3 linked regions of the Rhinolophus ferrumequinum genome follow. The protein of the gene in region 1 interacts with the protein of each later gene in a pairwise test. Links are inferred from orthologs where the notes say so. Each region holds a gene or a part of one and is shown on either strand. Other genes may lie near its edges.

The links.
Region 2: the proteins of HAX1 (region 1) and SAV1 interact in binary tests that used the Homo sapiens proteins (3 or more experiments, as listed by UniProt). The link is inferred for Rhinolophus ferrumequinum from reciprocal best matches to the Homo sapiens genes HAX1 and SAV1.
Region 3: the proteins of HAX1 (region 1) and IL1A interact in binary tests that used the Homo sapiens proteins (3 or more experiments, as listed by UniProt). The link is inferred for Rhinolophus ferrumequinum from reciprocal best matches to the Homo sapiens genes HAX1 and IL1A.

What each region holds. Positions count from the first base shown.
Region 1 is NC_046305.1:52,944,892-52,952,259, reverse strand, and holds HAX1 (HCLS1-associated protein X-1), read right to left. Parts: upstream 3,033-7,368; 5' UTR 2,831-3,032; coding exon 2,778-2,830; intron 2,080-2,777; coding exon 1,820-2,079; intron 1,642-1,819; coding exon 1,454-1,641; intron 999-1,453; coding exon 947-998; intron 801-946; coding exon 694-800; intron 575-693; coding exon 484-574; intron 348-483; coding exon 262-347; 3' UTR 65-261; downstream 1-64. Other genes in the region: UBAP2L (ubiquitin-associated protein 2-like), read right to left, coding at 4,615-4,710, 5,532-5,582, 5,996-6,193, 6,960-7,027. UniProt on the Homo sapiens protein: Recruits the Arp2/3 complex to the cell cortex and regulates reorganization of the cortical actin cytoskeleton via its interaction with KCNC3 and the Arp2/3 complex. Slows down the rate of inactivation of KCNC3 channels. Promotes GNA13-mediated cell migration.
Region 2 is NC_046289.1:41,598,862-41,606,251, reverse strand, and holds the start of SAV1 (protein salvador homolog 1), read right to left. Parts: upstream 3,020-7,390; 5' UTR 2,640-3,019; coding exon 2,546-2,639; intron 390-2,545; coding exon 1-389. UniProt on the Homo sapiens protein: Regulator of STK3/MST2 and STK4/MST1 in the Hippo signaling pathway which plays a pivotal role in organ size control and tumor suppression by restricting proliferation and promoting apoptosis.
Region 3 is NW_022680356.1:82,977-91,005, forward strand, and holds the start of IL1A (interleukin-1 alpha), read left to right. Parts: upstream 1-4,959; 5' UTR 4,960-5,034; intron 5,035-5,624; 5' UTR 5,625-5,632; coding exon 5,633-5,679; intron 5,680-6,634; coding exon 6,635-6,683; intron 6,684-7,457; coding exon 7,458-7,680; intron 7,681-8,029. UniProt on the Homo sapiens protein: Cytokine constitutively present intracellularly in nearly all resting non-hematopoietic cells that plays an important role in inflammation and bridges the innate and adaptive immune systems.

The sequences.
Region 1 (7,368 bases):
GTCAAGATAATTTGCGAAACCCTGGATGGTACTAGAAAGTGGAACAGCCTTGACAAAACCAAGATTGAGGAATTAGCATAAATAAAGGTTTTATTGGTCAGTTTGGGTGAGTGACATACTGACATACCCACAGTTCTACAGTTCACTATTCCACACACCCAAGAACCTGAGGTGGCAGGAGGAGAAGCTAAATAAGCCCACTGATGGTGAGCAAACAGTGGGAGGTGGAAAGAACTGGAAGGCCTCTGAGGGTTAACAAGGTTACTGGGACCGGAACCAACGGCCTAGGAATAAATCCAGGATGGAAAAGGCATCATCCAGGGCTGGAGGTGTTGGTGATTCTGGATCTAAGGAAGAAAGTGATACACACAGACATTCTAAATGAAAGACACAGGGCAAACGAGAGGAATGCTATTAAAGGGTAGAAGAATAAGTACCAAGGAACTAAAAGATGAATCACTTTGATTCACGCTCTTCACTTACCATCTCTAGGGCTGCCGTCTGCTTCCTGATGGGTGACTGTGGTCTCTGTCCGGCCTTCACTGTCCACCACAGTTCGGCGCTCCTCTACTGTCTACAAGGAAAAGCCCCCACGACATTCCTAACGTCACTAAGGGTGAGTCTGCTGCTTTCTTTACTTAGATCACTCTTTCCAGGGCATCCGGTTCCCTTTACCCTTCTCTCCCAACTCACCCCATCTGGCCGAGTGATCTTGGTCACAGAGACGCTCTTGAAATAGGATTTGGGCTGGGGCTGCAGAACTGGGCCGAGGCCCTCCTGGGAAACCTTGGAATCAAGATCTAGAAGGGCAGAGAGAGGAAACAGGAAAGAAAGCGTCTAAGAAAAAGAAGGGGACAAGCGTGGCAGGAAGAAACTTCAGGGAGGGAGAACAGAGGGAACTCCTGAAGAACAGAGGGCTGGTAATGTCCTCTCTCTCCAGACTCACCCTTATCCTCTCTGGCTCTAGAATGGGGGGTCACGGGCCACATATCATCAAACTGCAGAAGAAGCCAAAGTAGGTGATATGACACCTTTCACTCTGAAACTTGAGGAATCACAGGAACCCAAACTATTCTCAAGTTCCAAAACCACCTTTCCCCAGGAGAGAGAATCCCATTCACAGCAGCTTTATTTACTCATCCCGTTCTCCTTCCTAGCTATTTATCCTTCTTCCAAAAAAGCCTTCCTGAACTGATACTTTTCTGTCCTCCCCCAACAATCCTGCCTTGTCCAAGCATCATACGGACCGGTGTTGTTGTTGTTTTTTTTTTTTTTAAGAAAAAGCAGAATTCCCATTTTCCCCCAAAGAAAATCCTACAAGAAGCTTAGTATAGAAAACAGATAAAAACACTAAGTAGAGGGCCTAGGATTCCAACCCAAGTCTGTCAGATTCCAACAAGGACTATTCCAGTGGTCTCCCACGGGGTCTCACTTCAAGCCCAGATGTACTCACCCTATGAAAAGGTCTCTGGGAGCCCCAGTCTGGTGCTGGTTTGGGGGAGTCAGTTCTTGCATCACTCTCCGAGGCCCCCCCAAAGATCTTGGGCTGGTGACTATCTGGATACTTAAGCATGGAGTCCCGAAGCGTCTGGCCTTCCTGCCGTCTCTCTCCAGGTATCTCTAACTCAGGACCTGGGAGTTCTGCAGAAAGGTGGCAGGTGGAGGCATGCTGGGGTGGGGAAGGACTTGGGACCTTTTAACTCCCCTTGAAATCATCAGTATTCTCTCACTTCCCACCCCCCAACTACTCTGCAGGCTCCTTATTTCACCCACCACCCCAGTAGAAAACACAGGTTCTCCCTCAGGGGCAGCCACACACCAGGAGGACGGGCAGGCAAGGTCCAGGCCCCCATCTCGCTGAAGATGTTATTGAAATCCCGTACAAGGTCATCAAAGCCGAAGTTATCGTGGAATCGCATTCCTCCTCCTGGGCTGAAGCTGAAGCCGAAGGCAAAGTCCTCAGGGGGCTGGGGACCCTCAAACCTCGAGCTCCCATGGCCCCAGGAGGCTCCTTCTTCTTCTTCCTCATCATCCTCATCTTCATCTCGAGTCATCCCTCCAAAAAAGGGATCTCTGGGGCTGGGGGTGGAGGCAGATTAGCTACCAACATTTCAGCACTACTTAAACCATAAAATCAACTCATGGGTGGCAAAGTGTAAGGTAACAGGTGCCCAGGAAGCTGAGGTGAGGGTTAGAAGACTGGCCATCGCGGTTTGGTTTTTAGTTTTTAATCAAAGTCAGTCCTCACCTCACGGCTGCCCCCAGACACCTCCCCTCGGCTTTTCTCCAGCGTCCCCCAGCTCCTCCCCTCTCCCAAGGTCGTGCTCACTTGCTCACAGTCTTCTTACCCAGAGCCCCATTGTCTCCCTCCCCACCCCGGGCCCTGTTGCATCACCCCAGATGGGGGAGACGCTTAAGCTGCCGTTTCTCCTCCTCTTAACGACCGCTTTGGTTACTTCTCGGGGTGAGTGCTCAATGTTGTGACTTGTCTCCTTTCCGCAAGAGTTGAAGGAATGGGGAAGAGGATGTTTTTTCCAGAAACAGGGTGTTAGGGGTCAAGGTCCCCTCAGAAGACCCCACCGCGTCCGACTCAGACCTATTCTCACCTCCGAGGTCCAGAAAGGCCGAAAAAGTCCCGAAAGAGGTCAAAGAGGCTCATTCCCGCATTGCGATTCAACCACCAAAGCCCACCCGAGGTCCAGTCACACCTGGGGGTAGCTTGCGCTACGCTGTCCCCCGAAAAGACCACCCCACGTCCGACCCAGACCCAGTCTCACCTCCGAGGTCCAGAAAAGCCGAAAAAGCCTCGAAAGAGGTCAAAGAGGCTCATTCCCGCATTGGGATTCGAACCACCCAAGCCCACGCAGGGCCCATTCACACCTGGCGGTAGCTTGCGCTACACGGTCGGAAATTGACGAGCGTCAGGCTACGCTGCCGGAAAGCAAGCCCGCGATCAGGACACTGTCGTAAAACGACCGTAAGCGGACGTGGGTAGGGGCGGGGCGGACGGTCGTCTCACACTCGAGAGGCTTTCTCTGCGCCGCACCTGCTTCCTGTGAGGGGTGTGGGCGTTGTGAAGTTTCCTTTTCCACTGATCACCTGCCTCCTAAGCCGATTCTTCTTGCCGACGAACCCGATAGGTATTTCGAGGGTTTGACGATAGATGTTGCCGGATCAAGCCGCCAGAGGGCAGCCCATCCGCGCAAACGAACGGGCCCCCGTCCCGCCCTCGCCACACCCGTGGACCACCAGTCTTCCCCCTGAAGCCACCTCGCCCGTTTCTTGACTGACGCACGTCCAACAGGGGTGGACAAAGTATCTGATCAAGCTCCCTCTAGTACCGAGTTCCCCAGGGTTGAGATGGACACGGGGACGCACGCATTCACTACGGCCGCTAAGGAGTTGGTCATCGAGTGTTTTCCTTCCAGGCAGGCTGCGCAACCAGCAGAATAAAGGCTTTGTGGGGGAGCAAGGGAAACAGTGAAGTCTTCGGAGGGAAGAATTCGGGGCTCTAAGTCTCCCCCTTCCCCTGTCACTGACTTGCAAAGCCTCTCCCACCCCAGCCTCCAGGTTGGGTGCACCTGGGGAACGAAAGCGCTGGCCGGCGCGAACTGCCGGGGTCTCCTCCTCCTCCAGCTGGGAACCAAGCTTGTTTGCCAGCAACAGCGCCCCGTACCCTCCTTTCCAGTTCATTTGCCTGGACTCATCCAAGTTACGCTTTGACTCTACAAAGCCATTTCTTTCAGCTCCTTCTTAATCCTCTCCCTACCCGCCATCCCACTCTGTTTACTGCCCGAAATCTGCCACAGATGAAGCAGTTTTGGGAGGAAATGAAGATTTGTGATGGATCTTTCCAGGCAACAGGCTGTGAAATTCTTAGGGGAGAAGGGAAGGGAATCCCCTCGGGCAAGACACTAGCACATTAAGGTCAGGAGTTGTGAAAGGGTGAAGATTTCGTTTTATTCCACTGCCTTCGGGGCCTGCTAGAGGCCTGGATGGTAGAGTAATACTTATTCACCAAGCTGGTCCTCGAGGAGACTGAGGATGCCCTAGACGAAGCAAGAATGGGCAGAGGCTGAAGGTAGAGGTTTTCTTTTTATATATACAAGACACATTAATCCATTAAATTTGAGGACACAGTACAAAAAAAAAAACAAAAAAAAAACACTTCAACTAATTCTGACAATGCTGTTCATATTCATGACGCCATTTTTTGTTGTTCTGTTTTGTTTCCTAATAATAAAGGAGGAGACATAGGGCTGTTGGGCTGATATATATTTGGGGGTCCCCCTCCCCACCTCACCCATACACCACCAGGGTGAACAGGAGAACGAAGGGCAGGGCCCACAGCAAAGTTTCATAATCTTGAATGCAAGGGGGAAGGAGAGGAACCAAAAAAAAAAAAAAAAAAAGAGAAAATACAAATTCTATAATACATAGAACAGAGTGGGGATGGTATGGGGATGGACAGACATGAAGCTGAGGCATGGGGTGGGCCACTGGGGGTGGGGGGCAGCAGAACCCCCCCACTCCTTTCTCTCTGATGTTGTTTCCACAGTTGCCAGGCTGAGGAGCCCTCTCAGAAGATGGGGCCGGGAGGAGAGGGTCAGGGCCTCAGTTGGCCCCCCAGCTGTAGCTGTTGTAGGCAGACTTGTTGCTCTGGGGCTTCTGCGGGATGGAGCTGGTCTGGCTACGTTGCCCGCTGCCCGTCTGCAGGGGAATGGGAGGATGATGGGGAGGAAAAAGGTGTCTAGTTAGTGGGACAAATCTGTGACATCTTCAGGTGGAGAGTTGGAATCATCGTGCTCTCCCATTCCCCTTGCTTAGAAACTACCATGAAGCTTCCTTCTGAACCATAGAAAATCTGGTTTGTACAACTGCTAGCGCACCTGACAACAAAGCACTTTCAACCTTTAAATAGGGGAAAGGGGAAAAGAAGGGCAAGATACCTTTAGAGATGAGACAGTGCATCAGTTCTACTCATTTCAATACCCGCCCACCCCGCCCCGAGAAAAGGCTGCTCTCTAGAGAGAATCATGGCCTCTCCGAGATGAGTGATCACAGCTGATTGCTTTCCCTTTCACGGATTCCCACAGGAAGGCCTCAATTTGGAAAGCTGTCTTTGAGAGCAAAGCCCTTATTCCAGCTCCCCAGCCAGCAGGGTGGAGGAGAGGTCACTCCCACCACCCCGTGGCTCCCCACCCTACCACGTTTCACATCTGTGAGCCCATTTCAGGCAAGGCAGGAGAGACAGTCTGAGGCCCCAGGCTCCAGATGTTGCCCCAAGAATCCTTTCCATTCCGGTAACCAAGTGTTTCCAGAGTCAGGGAAGGGTGGAAAGAAAAAGAGGGCATTGAGGAGGGGAGGACAAGAGAGGAATGGGAGGCCAGAGAGCTCAGCAAGGTGTTTGTGTTTGTGTGTCCCGGTGTGTGACTGTGCAATCTTTTCTCTTCAAGTTCCCTGAGGCTGTGATGGTGAAATGGGGGCTGAAAAGGAGTGGGTTCAAGCATATCATCATTCAGTTTCATTACCTGCTCCTCCTGCTGGCGCTGGCAACAGAGAATCATCTGCAAATATGGTAGCTGAGGCAGAACCAGGATATATGGAAAATAAAGGGACAAACTTTGACAAGAGAACTCCACCATTAGAAGGGAAAGCTATAATGTGAGGGAGGGGGAGGGCTGGGAGAGGTAAGAGGGGAGGTGTGACCCAGGTCTGACAGGAGGAGGACAGCTGTGCTACGGGAGGAGGTGGAGGAGAAAGGCCCCAAAGGAACTGGGCAAAAAGGGTTTCACTCTGGCCCCTTCTCTGCTATCTCCTTTGCCGGCCACTCGTGTTATGTGCGCTCGTGTCTGTATGTGCTGTGTGCCCATGGCTGGCGCTGGGGAGGACTGGGTGGAGGGTGGTGGTGAGGAAGGGTGAGAAAAGGAAAGGGGAGGCAGCTTTAAGGGATAGGAAGGAAGAGGAAGGGAGAGGAGAGAGGGAGGGTTATTACCTGGCCATCCTGCTGCAGGTGGTGGTGAAGGATCTGGGAGTGCGGCTGCTGATGGGGGGTCAGGATGTGCATAAAGGGGGCCGGTGGATAGGCAGCAGCTGTGGCCGGATTGATGGGCCCCCCACTCCCTAGGGCTGAGGGCAAGTTGAAGGAGGCAGCAGGAGTACCGGAATGAAAACCTTGTTTCTCAAAGGACTGCTGTCCGGGAGGACGGGAGAGAGAGCAGAGAAGGCATCAGCCAATGGACCCTTGGAATTTCTGAGCCCAAGCTCTCCCACCCTCAGAAAGCAGCTCGGTGTCACAGAAGAACAGTGCCCTGCCCTGTAATAGCTGTGTGAGCTCTCAGCCCTCGTGTTCTCATACATAAAACAGGGATGCTGCCGACCTCTCAGTTGTAAGGACTGAATGAGAGGATGGAGGTGACAGCACTCTTATCAAATCTAACGTGACGTACAGGTACACAGTGAAATCTGCTGACTCCTCCTGATATGTCCTACCAAACTTCTAATTATTTATGGTGGCGGGAGAAGAAAGCAACACAATACAAATCTGTGGATAATTCAACTGCCTCACCTACTTATTGAGTCGTCTCCTTTCCCACTCAGAGAGAGACTTACAAAGAATGCAATGAACTAGTTTCCCTTCATTCCACTCGTTCTCTCGGAAAGTTATGAAAAGGCTGGGAGTGGGTAAGTAAAGGGCCAGGACAGTTGCACAAATCACATGACACAATTACCACAATTTTCCACACCTCATACCTCCCTATAACATTTCTCGTTTTTTCCCCAGATGGCTAAATTTAAACTTTCTCAAGCAACCGAAGTCTAAACCATCCTTCTCTAGCAGGGTGGGTTTCCTGACACCTCTCCTAGGGCTGTCCCGGCTCCCTGGACTTGTCATTGCCACTCCACCTCCTCTACGTCCACCTCTCTTTTTCCACTTGTACCCAGAGCCAGGCACCTACCTGGGTTTTGGAGTACACAGAACCCGAGATATCTGGCACGCCCGTGTTACTGGAGGTGACTGATACACCTGGGGGAGGAGGAAACAGACAGGAGGATTAGCTCACTAGCTGCCTGACCCCGCTCCCTGCAGCCTTTCTACCTCTAGCACTGCAAGGGGATTTTGGTCTGTTTTTCCAGCTTCAGGTCAGTCCTGAGGGATAAGAGCTCATGACACAAAGGCTCAGGAAGGGTTCTCTTGCCCTTTCCAGGTGTGTACTGAGCGTATGTGTGAGAGTGAGGTGAGTTGTTTTTGGAGGGAGCAAGGGGATATAGCCAAACTGCACTGGCATATAGCTTTCAAAATATCTCTGTGGCAAAGCCCAACACAAACGGATTGCACTTTTAATGTCCGTATCAAATCAATCCACC
Region 2 (7,390 bases), on another chromosome or scaffold:
GTATTCATAATATCTGTAGTCTTCATGTGTACGATCTCCAAGTGGGCGTCTTCTCTGACCATCAAAATAATTATCTGAATAATATCGGGAACCAGAGTCTCCATTTTCAACAGCAAAATTAACTTCTGTTAAAAATGACTGAGAAGAGCCATCTTCCCGAGGGACATCTGCTAGACTCCTGGCAAGATAAGAAGGTGCAGATAATCTGTTGCTTTCTCTTCTCATTACTTCATGGGGTGTTCTTTGAATTGGAGTTCTAAGGAAACTCTGGTTTCTTGAAACTATTCCATCTCCAGAAGCTGAAAAGGCATTAGGGCTTGAGTCTGGAAGACAGATATCAGTTCGTCTTGGAATTGTCGGACCATGCCGGATGAATGAAGGCATGAGATCTATAATGAAACAAAGAATAAAATGACCACTTCAATAAGTAACAAATACACTTTTTCAAAGTTGTTCATTTACATTTATCACCCCCAAATGCAAAATTTCAACAGACTTAAGAAAACACAATTAAAATTTGTGATTTCAGATAGTACTTGGATATTTTAAAATTGAAGCTGATTAACATATTTCCACTCAAATGAAATTTATAATCTCATCATAAATGTGTAGAATCAAATGTATTCTGCTTATAACCATACATAACATGAAATATCCATAAGCTTAACTATGAAACACATACTAATGAAATACGAATAAAGTGTAAAAATAGAAAACAATCTAATAAATGGATAGTTACCAGCATAATTTAAGATAATAGCTTGTTTTATTGATTTAACATCATTTTCAAAATTCCTAAAAATCCTTCTTCAAAACAAACACAATTTCAAAAATAAAAACAGAACATATGCTATTCCCAAACATATAAAGGGGAATTCTTTAAAAACATTTTAAAATTATTAACCTGGTCTTTCTACTCCTGGACGTAGCACTAGTACAGTAATCAAAACCTGGAAAGCCAAAAATATAGCTATAGAAATAAAAAAATAAAAAAATTTCACAGTCACACAAAAGTTGAATTTGTTTTAAAAAAAACCCCGGCCAAATCTGAAACTATGGCTCCTTTAAGAATAAGTAATTATAATTCAAAACAGAAGATAACAGTAGAACAATGGCTCTTGAGGATATAGTACTTCGGAATACTTAAATAGCTTAGACATTCCTGGTTAGAAGGCAAAATAACCCTAAAACATGAAGAAAACTAGATTTGGAGACAAATTTTGAGGGCATTCATATTAAGCTTCAGAAGCAAACTCTAGACAGAAATTAATATCCAAATAAACAAGGCTCACCACTTAATGAAACTAAAATACTGTATCAAGTTACTTGCTTAAGAGTATAGCAAACATATTTTATGATTTCAAGAATCATAATTATCAAGCGATATTTAATTAATATCAAGCGAAATTTAATAAACTTTATTTGCAGCAAACTGCAAGCTATCATAAACTTAGCCTTTCAAAAACGAATGTGTAACTCAAAAACGAATTGTTAAAAAAAAGGTTTAAAAAATCAAGTTTCAGGTTACTGATGTACCCATCTGATCTAGTTTGCTGTTCTATAAGAAAGCACTGGAAATACAGGATAAATCTGGAAGGCTGATGATGTGGTTGGTTATAATGGAAAAACATGCCCTCCACCCCTTTCTGTGTGATCTTAGGCAAATACTAGGAACTCTATGAACAGCTTTCCCAATTATAATGAGGTAATGATTAAGTCACAAGGTTACCACAAGCTTCCAAGAAGGAAATTTTACACAAAGGGCCAGCATGCAGTATGAGCACCAATATACTAGCTCCTTACCTCACAAATGTTCTGAACACACGGCAAGAATAAAAACTTCAAAATATATCCTATTAAAGTTAAAAAAATACACAAACTTTTTGGTATTTTCTCCTAAAATATGACAGAAATAATTTTGAGTACTTTGTCTTTTTGGGTTTTTTATTTGAAGCAATTCTCATGAATATATGAGAACACCAAACACAGACGATTTTGGTTCCTCTACTCTGAGATTTAAGATTGAAAAGGCTTTGGATAGCAGCTACAATAGAGATGGTCAGCTTTCACCTCCTCGAGTTCTGCATCCCGCAGCAGAGCTAGGAATTCTTTCTACCCAAGAGTTTGCACAACTTCAAGCACCGGCGAGTGACACCCACAATGTTTGCAAACACAAGGCATATCTCGACGTATCTAGACGAGGAAAAAGTGTGCCCCGGTCTAATTACTTTTACTCCTATAGCATCAGGGGATCAGTAATTTAAGTGTTTCCCCCCAAAGAGCCTCTTTCTTCCAGTAAAACGAACACTGCCTTAAGAGAGCAGGGAAGTTTGTCATTTTTTTTTTGGGAGGGTGGGGGGCTTGTAGAGGAGGGGGACTGATCTAAGTTTCTTACTATGTCAGTTTCAAAGAACAAACACGACTTCAGACATAATGAAATTAAAATCACAACAACAGTATTTCACAGAGACCAGCAGGAATGCAAAGGCGCGGGGAGCCGCGGCCGCTCGGGACAGGTATGGGGTGTACCCGCCCTGACACTTACTCCGCAGCAGAGGCGAAGTCTCCTTCTTGACGTACTTCCCCTGCACCTCGGCAGGCTTGGACACTTCGTTTTTGGTTTTCTTTCGGGACAGCATCCTGGTCGACGAGGCTCCAGGCCGCGCCAAGCAGCCTCCCTAGGGCTCCGCGCTGGGCGCCGGCCGTCCCCGCCGCCACCTCCGCCGGCGCCGGCGCCTCCTTCCCACCACCGCCGCCGCCGCCGCCTCTCCGCAGCCCGGGGTCGCCCGCAGGAACTGCCGCATGTTCGGGGCGCTATGCGCGCCGGTCGCCGCTCAGTCGCTTGTCAGTTCCTTCCCGGAAGTCTGCTCGCTCCGCAACGCTGCCCGAGGACTCCGTGAGGAGAGGCCAGGGACGCCGGGCCAGGGCCACGGTCCGCCTCGGGCCGCCTAGTAACCTCTACCGCTACCGCCGCAGCCGCCGCAGCCGCCGCCTACGTCCCGTAAACTTTCCCCGCGGCCGCTGGGAATTCTGGGAAACTCGACGCAGCGCAGGCGCCGCCACCGCCCCTCCCCCACCCCAGCTCCGGGGCGCGGCTCCGGCTGCGGGACTCCGGGCCTGACTCCCAGCTAACGGGCTGGTCCCACAGCCGCCCCGAGGAGCAGCGGTCGATTCACACCTCAGTGAGGGGCAGGTCCCGAGGATGGGAAAGGACAAGTACGAAGATGACCAGACTGATCGCGGGAGGTCGTCGTGAGCGCACGCAGTGGAGCTCCCTCGTCCCACAGAGTTTTTTCACCAGGACTTTGAGGGAGCTGGTGACGCTCTCCGAGACGTGTTCCCGTCATCTGAGTGCAGACGTCCCTCTTGGAGTTTGTTGGGCTGGGACATTCAGGTCCTTCATAACGCAGAATGAGAATAGAGTTGGACCACAACCCCCAGGCTGGTGCTGCACCAAAAAAAGTCTAGATGCCTCTTTGTTGAAAACATTCATCTGTCCAATACTAATTAAACAAATATAAATCTATAATCTCCTGGGTACCAGGTAGTGTGTCTTTCTCATTAAGGGGAAGAAACGGGGGAAAAACCCAAAATGGAGTTTCTACTACCTCTTATTTAAGATAAATTTGATACAAGCATATTTTATTTAATCATCACTAGTATTATACTTAGTTGCCACAAACTTCCTCTTGGAGTTAAATATTACAGTCTTAGAATTTTGAGAATTTTGAGCATTAAAGGTCAAGACCTGCAATTTTTAATCTAAAATAGACCTTCCTTCTATATAAATTAGAAGAGCTGTCAAATGTACAGGGTGACATTTGGAAAATAAGGTGGGATCCAGCCCTTAGTGACCAAATTAAGTCTTTGATTTTGGAGAAAGCGTTCCCTGAGATCAAAAACATCTTAACAAGAGATGTAAAACAACTAACAGGCAAGGAATTTTTTACTACACAGTATTAGGATGATGGTCAAAAATCTGTTTGCCATGAACAAACATTTTACCTAGTGTCTGTCTCCATCTTTGCATGCTATTATGCTCCCTTGGTACAGAGTTCTCACAATTCATTCAGTAACGGACAAAAATTTATTGAGCACCTACTATGCTAGGCGCTATACTACTGATTGGGATGTAACAATAAAAACAGACATGAATCCTTACTCTTGTGGGAAGAGAGACTACAAAAAAGGAAAATAAGTAAAACATCTGTACATAGTGATAAGTACTGAGGTGAAAATAAAACAAAAAGAGGGCTTGCGACTTTAGTGTGATAGAATGACCAGAGAAGGAGACACTGGCGTTAAATGACCACGTGAGGAAATTGGCAAAGCAACTATCTGGAGGAACGGTATTCCAGGCAAGTGCAAAGTCACTGCAAGTCACCATGTTCCTAGCAGATTTATGTAGCTGGAAGGTTTATGTAGCTGGAGCAGAGGAAGAGTGTAGTGGGAAATCAAGTTAGATAGGTAACAATGGCTAGGGAACCTAGAGGGGGTCATTCATTGTAAGGAATTGCACTTTGAGCACCATCTAACTTAATGTTTTCAAAGGATCGCTTTGGATACTGTGTTGAGAATAGACTCAATGGGAACAAGGGTGAAAGGAAGATCAGTCAGAAGCTATTGCTGGCTTGGACCAGGGTAGCAGCAGTGGAAATAATGAGAAGTGGTCAGATTTTGGACATACAAAAACAGCCAACAGGATTTGCTGACAGATTGAATACAGAGTATGAGAGAACTCAAGGATCACTCTCACTCCCGCCAATCTTGGTAGAACAGAATGGAGCTCCATAGAATACAATAAATTGTACTCTGAAAGGAACATTAGAAAAGCAGTTACTTGTTTCTGTGGTTCAGATATGACGACCAGTACTGGTAAACTGGTGCTGGTGTGCCTGGAGAAGAAAGAGTAACGAAACAGATGAAGAGACAATAGGGTTTTATTATAGTTAGAGTATGAAGACAGGAGATTAGGAGGGAAGGGGATGCCAGCTAAGTGCCAGGTTTCTGCCCAGGGCTTACCTCAGAAGGATAAGAGAACAAAAGGATATTAGGTCCTAACCTTGTTAATAAAGCCAGCTCTTCACACCTGGGATTTTCCCACAAACTGAAATACAGGATACTTTTCACATTCATGGGGGAAAGAAACAGAATTTTATAATTAGAAAAGAATTCTGAAATCAGGTAGGCTAACCTCATTGATGTGGAAACAAAACTAGAAAAATTAAATATTTCCCTTATATTTCTGGCTAGTGGCAGACTAGTCTCAGAACTGGAGTTTTCTATTTGCATTTTGGGCCTCTTTCTGCTTTGGCACTTTAAGAATTCTACTAATGTGAGTCCAGAGTGTTTCTAACACAGTTGTTTTGAAAGCCATCCATGTTCCCCACAAAGTACTCCTTTTTTCAATGCTATTTTAATTTGAATTACAGCAGAGAGAAAGCCTCAATTAGATGCTCTTTTTAAGAGCTATAATTTGCCTTTTTATCAAACAGTGTGCATTCCAGAATCAACAATCTGCATCAGCAGTAGCAATGCATAGCATAGCAATATGTGAACTTGGAATCCAAATCCTTACCTACAGACGTTTTGAATTCACATCTGTTTTCTAGAAATTCCCGGGTTTCTGGGGGTTTTTATTAAGGAATCCAGATTTTGCAGCTACAGTTCTCCAAACATTGCTCTTGGTAGGCTAATACTATATATATATATATATATATATATATATATATATATATATATATATATATATTGCAGAATAAAAAAATATTTTTTTTTCCCTTGCAGTTGCATTCTCAGTGGAGAAAAGTGACAGGGAGTTACTCATGTCTTATCAACAACTATTTTTTCTTAATTTAGCATTAAAATTTATTTTAAAGGAGGCAGTAAGGTGTTAATCTGAGCTAACCTCATAGCTCTCTGGGCCTTAATTTTCTCATCTGAAAATGAGGAAATTGGACTAGTTGAATTCCAAAGTGCCTTTCAGCTTACAGTGTTGTACCATATAGGCAGAAGGAAATACACAAAAATAAAAAAGTTACCCTAGTAGGATAATAAGCATATAGGTTATTTCCCTTCTTTAAAAATATTTATCTTTATTGCTGTGTTTTCATTTAAAAAACCGTTAAAGCAAGTGTTAACTTATTAGCATTATATAGTCGTCATTAGTGTAAAATAAAAGTTCATGCCTGATTACTACTTTCAAAGAGAGCTAAGGTTCTTGCACTGTTTTTACTTTTTCTTGCTAGAATCGTGTAAAATTTAAAAGAATTATCAAATAAAGGATTGTCCAAGAAAGAATCAAATGTAAATACGCCCTATGTTATGGAGCTTCTTCAAAATAAATAAAAAGGAGAGGAACTTCTACTCTCCGACCCACTCTTCTTGGTCATGTAGCAAAATAATCTTTATATCAGGAAGAAATAATAATTATGCTAGAATCTAGGGCTATTCAAGCCTCCAAAATTTTGCTCGTAAAATCTGGGAGGATACATTCCTGAGCGTCCTTTTAGGCAGACGCTTTAGTTGTTTCTTATGAAGGATAAGGACGCGTGATGTATACACAGCTCTGAAAATATAAATGCTTCATATAATATTAGCAACTAAGTTTGGTTCCCAATCTCCACTATGAATCATCTCCCCTCTCCCCCTCTGCCGCTCCTCCCAAATAATGTAGAGAATTAGTATAATAAGTCTGTTCAAAAGGAGTTAAGCTGGGAAATTTGGTTTCCCTAATCTTTAGCTCTTCTTCCTATGTGCTGTTAATTGCCTGGATTTAGAGGTCCTCTGAAGCCTTGATAACTAGCCAAAATGAGTCTTTTATTCTTGGCAATGCTAGCCTTTGACTTCAGTTGGCTGTCCTTATAGGCCTTTCTGTGACTTTGCCTCTCTAGACCTACAAAATTTTATCTTCCAAAATGTCTTACCTTCAGCCACTCGACTTTATTTTGAACTACTCTTTGCAATTTTCCATTTTTACTTGGCTTATAGTAAGATTTAAAAAAAAAAAACAACTCAGTAAAAATTTACTTAGGGCTCTCATTATGGGGGGAGGGGCCTACTGATGTATATTTAATGTGGAAACACTTGTATCCCTTCCACACCACATGGGGGTCAACGGATACTCAGAAACCCCATCTCTCCTCCATCTGCCTAAACAAGCCAGGCCACTATTTCTCTTCTGCTTTGGCAGTTCCATGCTGATGCAAAGAGCCCCTGCAAAGATGATCTTCAAGAGTCCCAAGTGGAAATTGAGACAAAATATTCCCCCTTCTTCAATAGCTGTTGGAATTTCACAAGCCTTGTAATACTAGCATCTCACTGCAGCATGGGACCTACTCTCTCTGTGCAGTCTTTCTTCTCCCTGCCAAAATAAGCTACTTCCAGGTCA
Region 3 (8,029 bases), on another chromosome or scaffold:
AAATGAGCTAAGGCAGAGAGGGGATCCACTCCAGGCCACAGCACTCGGATCTCTGCTCTCCGAGGCCCAGAGCACGTGCCCAAAGTGCCTCCAAAGTGAAATGGGCAAAGGCCTTGGTGGGGTCTACATAGGCCCTGCCCACCTGGCTCTCGCCCTCCTCCAGACCTCACCTCCTACCCCTCAGTCCCTCCCTCTCTGGGCGACAGACTCGTGCCCTACGTTCATTAATCTGACCCCACGACCTGTGCTCAGCCTGGATCATTCCCTCTTCCTTCCCCAAGGAAGCCCCCACTCCCAGTTTCAGAGGAGCCCCTCTGTCAGATGCCCTCCCCACTCTCACCTCGGTGTGTGCTTTTTTGTTTTTTAATTTTTTTAGATAATTTTTTTAGTTTCCAATTATAGTTGACATTCAATATTATATTAGTCTCAGGTGTACAGCATAGTGATGTACAACATTTATATAACTTATGAAGTGATCATCCTGCAAAGTCTAGCACCCATCTGACACCATACATACCGTGCTTCCCCGAAAATGAGACCTAACCGGAAAACAAGCCCTAGCATGATTTTTCAGGATGACATCCCCTGCACTTAAGGCCTAAAGCATCTTTTGGAGCAAAACTTAATATGAGACCCGGTCTTATTCAGGGGGAAACACAAACACAGGAGCTATTACAATATTATTGACTGCAGTGCTTGAGCTATCCCCTCCATCCCCATGACGACTGTGTAACTACCAAAGTGTACTTCTGAATCCCTTCCCTTCTTCACCCAGGCCCCCAACACCCCTCCCATCTGGTAACCATCGAATGCTCTTTGTATCTATGAGTTTGTTTCTGTTTTGCTTGTCCGTTTATTTTGTTCTTTATTTCACATATAAGTGAGATCCTATGGCATTTGTCTTTCTCTGTCTGACTTACTTTACTCAGTACAATACCCTCCAGGTCCATCCATGTTGTTGCAAATGGCAAGATTTCATTCTTTTTTTGGGTGAAAACTATTCCATCGTACATACGTACCACCTTTTCTTTATCTATCCATATATTGAGGGGCACTTAGGTTGCCTCCACATCTTGGCCGTTGTAAACAATGCTGCAATGAACATACGGATGCACACATCCCCTCGAAGTAGCATCTGGGTTTCTTCAGATAAATACCCAAAAATGGGATTACTGGGTCCTTCTTTGTCTCTTGTTATGTATAGCCTTTGTTTCAAAGTCTATTTTGTCTGGTGTAACTATTGCTACCCCAGCTTTTTTTTTTTTCAATTCCCTTTTCATGCGATATCTTTTTCCATCCCTTTACTTTCAGTCTGTGTGTGTCTTTCGATCTGAAGTGAGTCTCTTGTAGGCAGCATATGTAAGTGTCTCGTTTTCTTATCCATTCAGCCACCCTATGTTTTTTGACTGGAGCACTTAATCTATTCACATTGAAAGTAATTGTTATAGATATGTCATTATTGCCATTTTTTAATTCATATTTCTTAAGTTTTTTCTTCTTCTTAACGAAGTCCCTTTTATGCTTCTTGCAGTACTGGTTTGGTGGTGATGAATCCTTCAGTGCTTCCTTGTCTGGGAGCAGCACGTGCTTACCTACTTCACTGTCAGCTCCCAGGAGAGTGGGAACCATGGCCAGTTTGGCTCACTGAATGGGCTTTCATGCTCTTTAGCTCCTTTTTTACTTATGGGTGAGAAGCCATGGGAGAGATTATTTCTTCACCTTTTTACTGAAGAGCCAGTGTCTCTAGGAAGGAGGACATTTTGAACTAGAAATCAAGTACAGTGAGTTTTCATTTTTTGGCTCCCATTCTCATATGAGCTCTCCATGGGACCTTAGGACCTTTTTACTTCTCTCTGAGCCAGTGTGCTCTTTTATAAAGTAAGAGTTTAATCTAGATGGCATCTGAGGTGCCTCCTTCTCCAACACAGCATCCTCTGGAAGACTAGCAAGACAAAGACTCTGGCGTCTGAATCCCATTTCGGCCACTTGGTCATCTTGTGCCCTTAGGTAGATGGCTTAATCCCTCCATCCAGACTTCCTCTTCTGTGAAGTGTGGTGAGAATGCTAGCTCACAGATCTGATAGAGGATTAAACAACATGACATACTACCCTGTGTCCCCGAAAATAAGACCGAGCCGGACCATCGGCTCTAATGTGTCTTTTGTAGCAAAAATTAATATAAGACCCGGTATTATATTATATTAGGCTCCTCACCTAACCACCTCAGCATCCTCAGCGGTGAATGGGACAGAAAGCACTTTGTCTCGTCCGAGAAGCGAGGCGTCAGCGACACAGTGCAGGGGACAGCTCTGAACTGTGAAGCCGTTTCCAAGGAAAAGCATCCACAAGGGTCTTTGGACCCAAGACCTCCGTGGTAACAGATTCCACTCACCCACCAGCACACACCTCATTTCGCACATCCACTCACCTGCCAGAACACACCTCATCTCACACATCCAATGCTGTGAATCATGAAAGAAAAATACTGACGCCTAGTAAAATGCCCACCACTGAATAAGTGCACAATCATTTCTTCTGAATGATTTAGGTAAAAATGACTCAAGAAGGGTTTTCGAGGCCTCCTGAGAGTCAACAGGTGGGCGCATGAAGCCACCCAAAGTCCCTGTCGCAGGACAGCCCCAAACCCCTAGGGGCTCCAGTGGAGAGCCACCTGGTCCATTCCTCTCTCCGTTCCCTGGAGAATGGTGGCCTGGTGCTGAGGCTTCCTCACAAGTCCACGTTGGTTCACACTCACAGAATAGTAGGCTCCCCCAAACCAAGCAAGGACCCCTCACCCACATTGCTCTTCCTTTAGAAACCATTTCCGGGTGGACGGGTGGTTCAATTGGTTAGAGCGCGAGCTCTGGGTAACAGGGCTGTCTGTTCGATTCTCACATGGGCCAGCAAGCTGCACCCTCCGCAACTAGAATGAAGTCAATGAGCTGCCACTCAGCTCCCCGGTGGCCAGATGGCTCAGTTGGTTGGAGCGCAGGCTCTCAACCACAAAGTTGCCAGTTCGACTCCCCCTGCAACTAGCAACGGCAACTGGACCTGGAGCTGAGCTGCGCCCTCCACAACTAAGACTGAAAGGACAACAACTTGCCTTGGAAAAGTCCTGGAAGTACACACTGCTCCCCAATGAAGTCCTGTTCCCCTTCCCTCCCGCCCCCCAAAAAACAAAAAAACAAATCCAAAAAAAACTATTTCCAAGAAGGTTACATGAAGGACAAAGTTAGGTAAGACCCCCAGACTCAGTTGTCTGTCTAGAAAAACATTTCAAACTCTCCTTGAAAAATTCCACTACCACACTGGGGAATTCTCTACAGCAGAGATGTGCCAATGGGCGAGATGGGTGTTGCCTCTGGTGGTGGAACCAACGGTATTTTCCCAGATTACCAAAGAGGTGCTACATCTCCTTTTCAGAAGCTAAACATCCTCACAGTTTCAACAGAGGCCTTCACCTGAAATGTCCTCCCTGTTGAAGTCTCAAACCAATAGTTTCATACGACCTATTTTTCCTTCAGTGAAACGAGGTGTTACAGTGATGACGATACAGGTTCCCAAGTGCGGAAGCCATCATTAGTGCTGGTAGTATTTTTGTTTACTTGCACCCCTCTCCATCACACCCCTCGTTCACAATGAGCTCTGCAACTGCTTCTCAGTAATAGTCCTCACAAGACCTCCGGGAGGCAGCATGACCAGCGCTAACACTTCTGTGTTGCCTGAAGGGGAAGCACAGACGTGAAGAGCTGGTTGCCATCACCGTCCATACAGTGATCGCACTGACACCAAGCTCTGCCCCCATCTGGCCCTACGTCCACGATGCCAGCTCTCTCTGTGGCCCTTGTCTTTGATGACTGAAACAGCAGATCTATAACCAGAGGACCTGGGCTGGGCACAGAATCAGAATTGGAGACTTTGTGCCTTGGATAGACCTTAATGACCATCTACCCAAATCCACTGTTTTGCTGGACAGGACCAGAGAAAACACTTTACCCAACTCACACAGGCCATTTACTCCCAGTCCGGTGCGTTTGGGCTTTTCATACCATGTTGCCATGCTTCACCTTTCTTCCTCCACGCTCTTCCATCAGTTTCCGTTGGTTAAAATTTACATGGCTTCAACTCCAACCAAGAAAACTGAAACATTTACATGCTGAGTCTGGTGTTCTACCACCTGACCTGGGCTGGCCTCAGAATGCTGAAAAAGTCTGATGCAGTGTCCTATTTTGAGTCCCTTCCTTTCCCCCCAAACTCTGTCCTTGAAGCTAGCCACTGGCTGCGGCGGGGCTCGGCCCACCCTCCATGAGTCTGCAGCTACCCTCACACACCTGGGGTCTGTCCTGGGGTTCTGGTGGAGGGACACTTAGCTGTAACATGGCCAGGGCAGAGAGCTCTCTCCTAAGCTGTCCCTTTGTAGGAAGTGGGTTGACGGGCTGCAGAGGAGCAAAAGGATGAGAACTTGTGTGGCTGACATCACTTTCCTGTCCTCTAACCTGCCCCGAGCAGGAGGTTGTCCCCACACTGATTGATTTATGCTTCTTCAAGCAAACCCACACCTTAGCTGCCAAGTACCTATCAATTCATACTTAGTTGTGGGGGCCATAAACAAATTAAGCCAAAACTCAAACTACAGCTCCTAAGCTGCTCTCCAACCCTAGTACCCATAGTTCTGATTTTAGCAGTTCTCCTTCCTCTCTCACCATATATTTTTAGAAACTTGTTACATTTCCTGCTTCTCTTCCCTTTCTCTAAAACTGTGTTTATAACTGTTTAGAGCAAAACAATAAATAAATGAACCAAGTCAGAAACTGCAGGAATATCTGCAAATAACATTATCAAGTTTATAATCTGTCATTTGGCCAGTATAAGGTTGAATGAACGTAAAAGAAATGCAAATCAGGATCCTTCCCTGTAAATTCCCATGACGCACCCTGGCCACACCCACTGCACAGAAGACAAAAGGCCCAGGAGCGGAGGCAGCCGCTTCTTCCAGCAGAGCCGACTCACCTCCCGGAACCGGAGTCGGCAAAGGTACTGTCCTGGTCACATTTTGGCTTTTAAAATATTTTTTGTTTCTCTCCTTGACTGTTATCTCTCAAACTGCCTTCTCTGAAGCTAAAGCCTCTTCCCTCCTGGTTCTGTGTGTGAGTTAGAATCACAATCGGATTTCAGAAAATGATCCTTCCTCTTGGTGGGAACTGAGGGACGGGGAACTGCTTCCACAGGTGGCCGGTGGTGCAGCCAAGCCTTCCCTCAGAGGGAACTCCACTTCCAAAAACTGCCGAGAGAAAACTGGAACTTCCCAAGTCTGCCTCTCTCTTGCATCTGAGTGAGGCAAATGCCTCCTTCTTGTGGGGTTTTTGAACTTAGCCAAACTTGACTGAGTGCCTACTGTGTGGGCACTAAGGGATACCAAAATTCTAAAAGAAACGTACAGTCTGCTAGAGGAGGCAGACACCTATGCAAATGGTTCAAGGGAGTGAAAAGAATGGGGAACATGCTGAATGTGGTTATGCCATGAGTTAAGTTGCCCAAGAAGCACAAAGCAGAGGTGGTTCCCCTCATAGGTGTCTGGTTCAGAGGTCATCAAGGCTGACAGCCGCTGGTGTTCTCCGTTGCAGAAGTCAAGATGGCCAAGGTCCCCGACCTCTTTGAAGACCTGAAGAACTGTTACAGGTAGGAAATGGACTGTGATCTGATGAGGGGACCCAGGCTCATTAGAACCCACCCAGCGAGGAGGTGCAGTGACCAGCATGGGGCCAGACCGGCAGACGCTATAGAGATGGTCCCACCTCCAAAGTCAGAGCAGGCTCAGCAAAGGCTTAGGGAAGCCAAGCATCCAGCATGTTAAACGGATGTGACGTTGACAGGAAGACGGCCATTACCAAAAACGTGTTTTTTAAGGCCTGCTGAGTCCTAGCGAATTTCAGCGTCTATTCATACACAGCCTGGGCTGGGTCACATGCTCGGTCTGGTACAGTAAGGGGTTCTAAAGGCCTCTTAGAGAGAGACCACCCTCAGGAAACTCCTTGCTCTCAATCTGGAGAGGAAAATGGCTCCACAGCAATCCGAGCACGCGGGAGCTCATACACACTCAAACCTAGTCAGATGTAAGAGGAACGTAAGTGAATAAAAGGTGTAAATTATAAAACACTTTCAACAACATGTTCTCATTACCTGCTTTACCTGCTAATATGCACTAACACACGCTCGGCCATCCAAGTGTTGTTTGGGTGTTTTGCCAGGTATAAATTACTAAATCCATTTTAGTGAGTACATGAAAGCAATGAGTAATGTAGTCTATTTGGTCAGAATTTAAATAAGGTGCTTCGGCAGAACTTTTCTCTTGAGGAGCTGAAATCCAATTACAACTCCTGTTTGTAAGCCAAGCACTGTTTCTGTTGATAAAGCACAGGTAAAGTTCAAGGCCTGTCCTGAAGGTGACTAATTCCAGGTCAGCGAGGTACAGATTACTCTATGTACGTATGTACAGAAGTCGTTCATTTTCAAAGATGGCAGGAGTGTCCGTGTGTGCACACACGTGTCCCAAAGCTAATGAGGTTATTAAAATACATTGCCTGGTGGCCATTGTGATCTAACAGAATGACATTCTCATCATCTTGTTTGACAGTGAAAATGAAGAATACAGTTGCGAAATTGACCAGCTCGCTCTGAATCAGGTAAGCAAATGGCTGCTTCTTAGGGTGGCTGTTCTGACAGTCATATTTTCTCCACGGGAGGACAGCAGCTATGGCTTCAGTCCCATAGGCCTCTGCTGTGCCATCTCGAGATGTCCGGAGACATGCATGTCTTCATTATAAGTGAGGCAGACAGGGCTGATGGCATTCTCCACACTTGCCGGATTTTCCCAGAATAGAGCACAACTACCCTGCACCCCAAGGACTGGAGTCTCCCTGCTTCATCAGATGCTAGTTTGCCACCCTGAGACAGAGCCTTCGGGCCACTTCTCCAGGGGTCTGTCACCTAAAGATATGTTCTGGTCATCCTCTCCGATGCCAGCTCCAGACATCAGAGACAACCCTCCAACGTAACAGCCCAGGAAGCCGAGGTGGACCAAGCAGGCCACTCACAAGTACTCCTATGTGTCTTTGGTACTGGCTCTAAAAGCCATTCCCAGAGGAGTATTTCTAACATGTCTGAGCCCTGTCCTAAGCCTAACTTCCTAAGGGGGAACTATTGGAGAGTCTCAATGTTAGCCTGTTTCACTGTATCTCATTTTTGAGTCTGCAGATAAATGACAAAGACTGGCCAAGAGATGGTATCCTTCCAGGGAAATGCTAGGAGGGAGGAGGAGGGGATGACTGAAGAAAGGTGGGTAGCCGAGACCCCACTGGCGATCCTTCTCACTATGCCCGTTGAATAAAACTCCCACAAAAGGAGTCTCATCCTATAGCCACAGACAGCCTCTCAGTCTCCACCTCCCTTCCTCACAGAAATCCTTCTACGACGCAAGCTATGACACACTTCATGAGGACTGCATGGGTAAATTTACATCTCTGAGTACCAAGGAGACCTCTAAGACTTCCCAGTTTACCTTCAAGGAGAGCGTGGTGGTGGTGGCAGGCAATGGGAAAGTTCTGAAGAAGAGACGGCTGAGTTTCAACAAGGTCCCCACTGATGACGAGCTGGAAGCTGTTGCCAATGACCCAGAAGAAGGTAAGGGGCCATGTGCCGTGATATCCTTGTTTGCCATTTTTAAGCAAATGGGCACAATAGAGTAGAAGGGCAAATAAAACCTAGAATCAGGGTGACAGGGCAGCCAGGCATTAGTCTAGTAACTATCAGGAAGGAAAATTAATTTCTATGCTGCAATGGGGAGAAAGCAGCCTGGCCTGGGTCTAAGATACTTGCTCACATGCTCATTTCACGGCCATACTGTAAAGGTCATGTGACTTCGAGCCCTTCAGCAGGAAATGGTTACACACTGTTGGCGGGTGACACTGACAAGCCATGTTGCTTCTCATGCTAACTGTGCCTCATTGGGAAAGTTACTGACCTTTCTGTG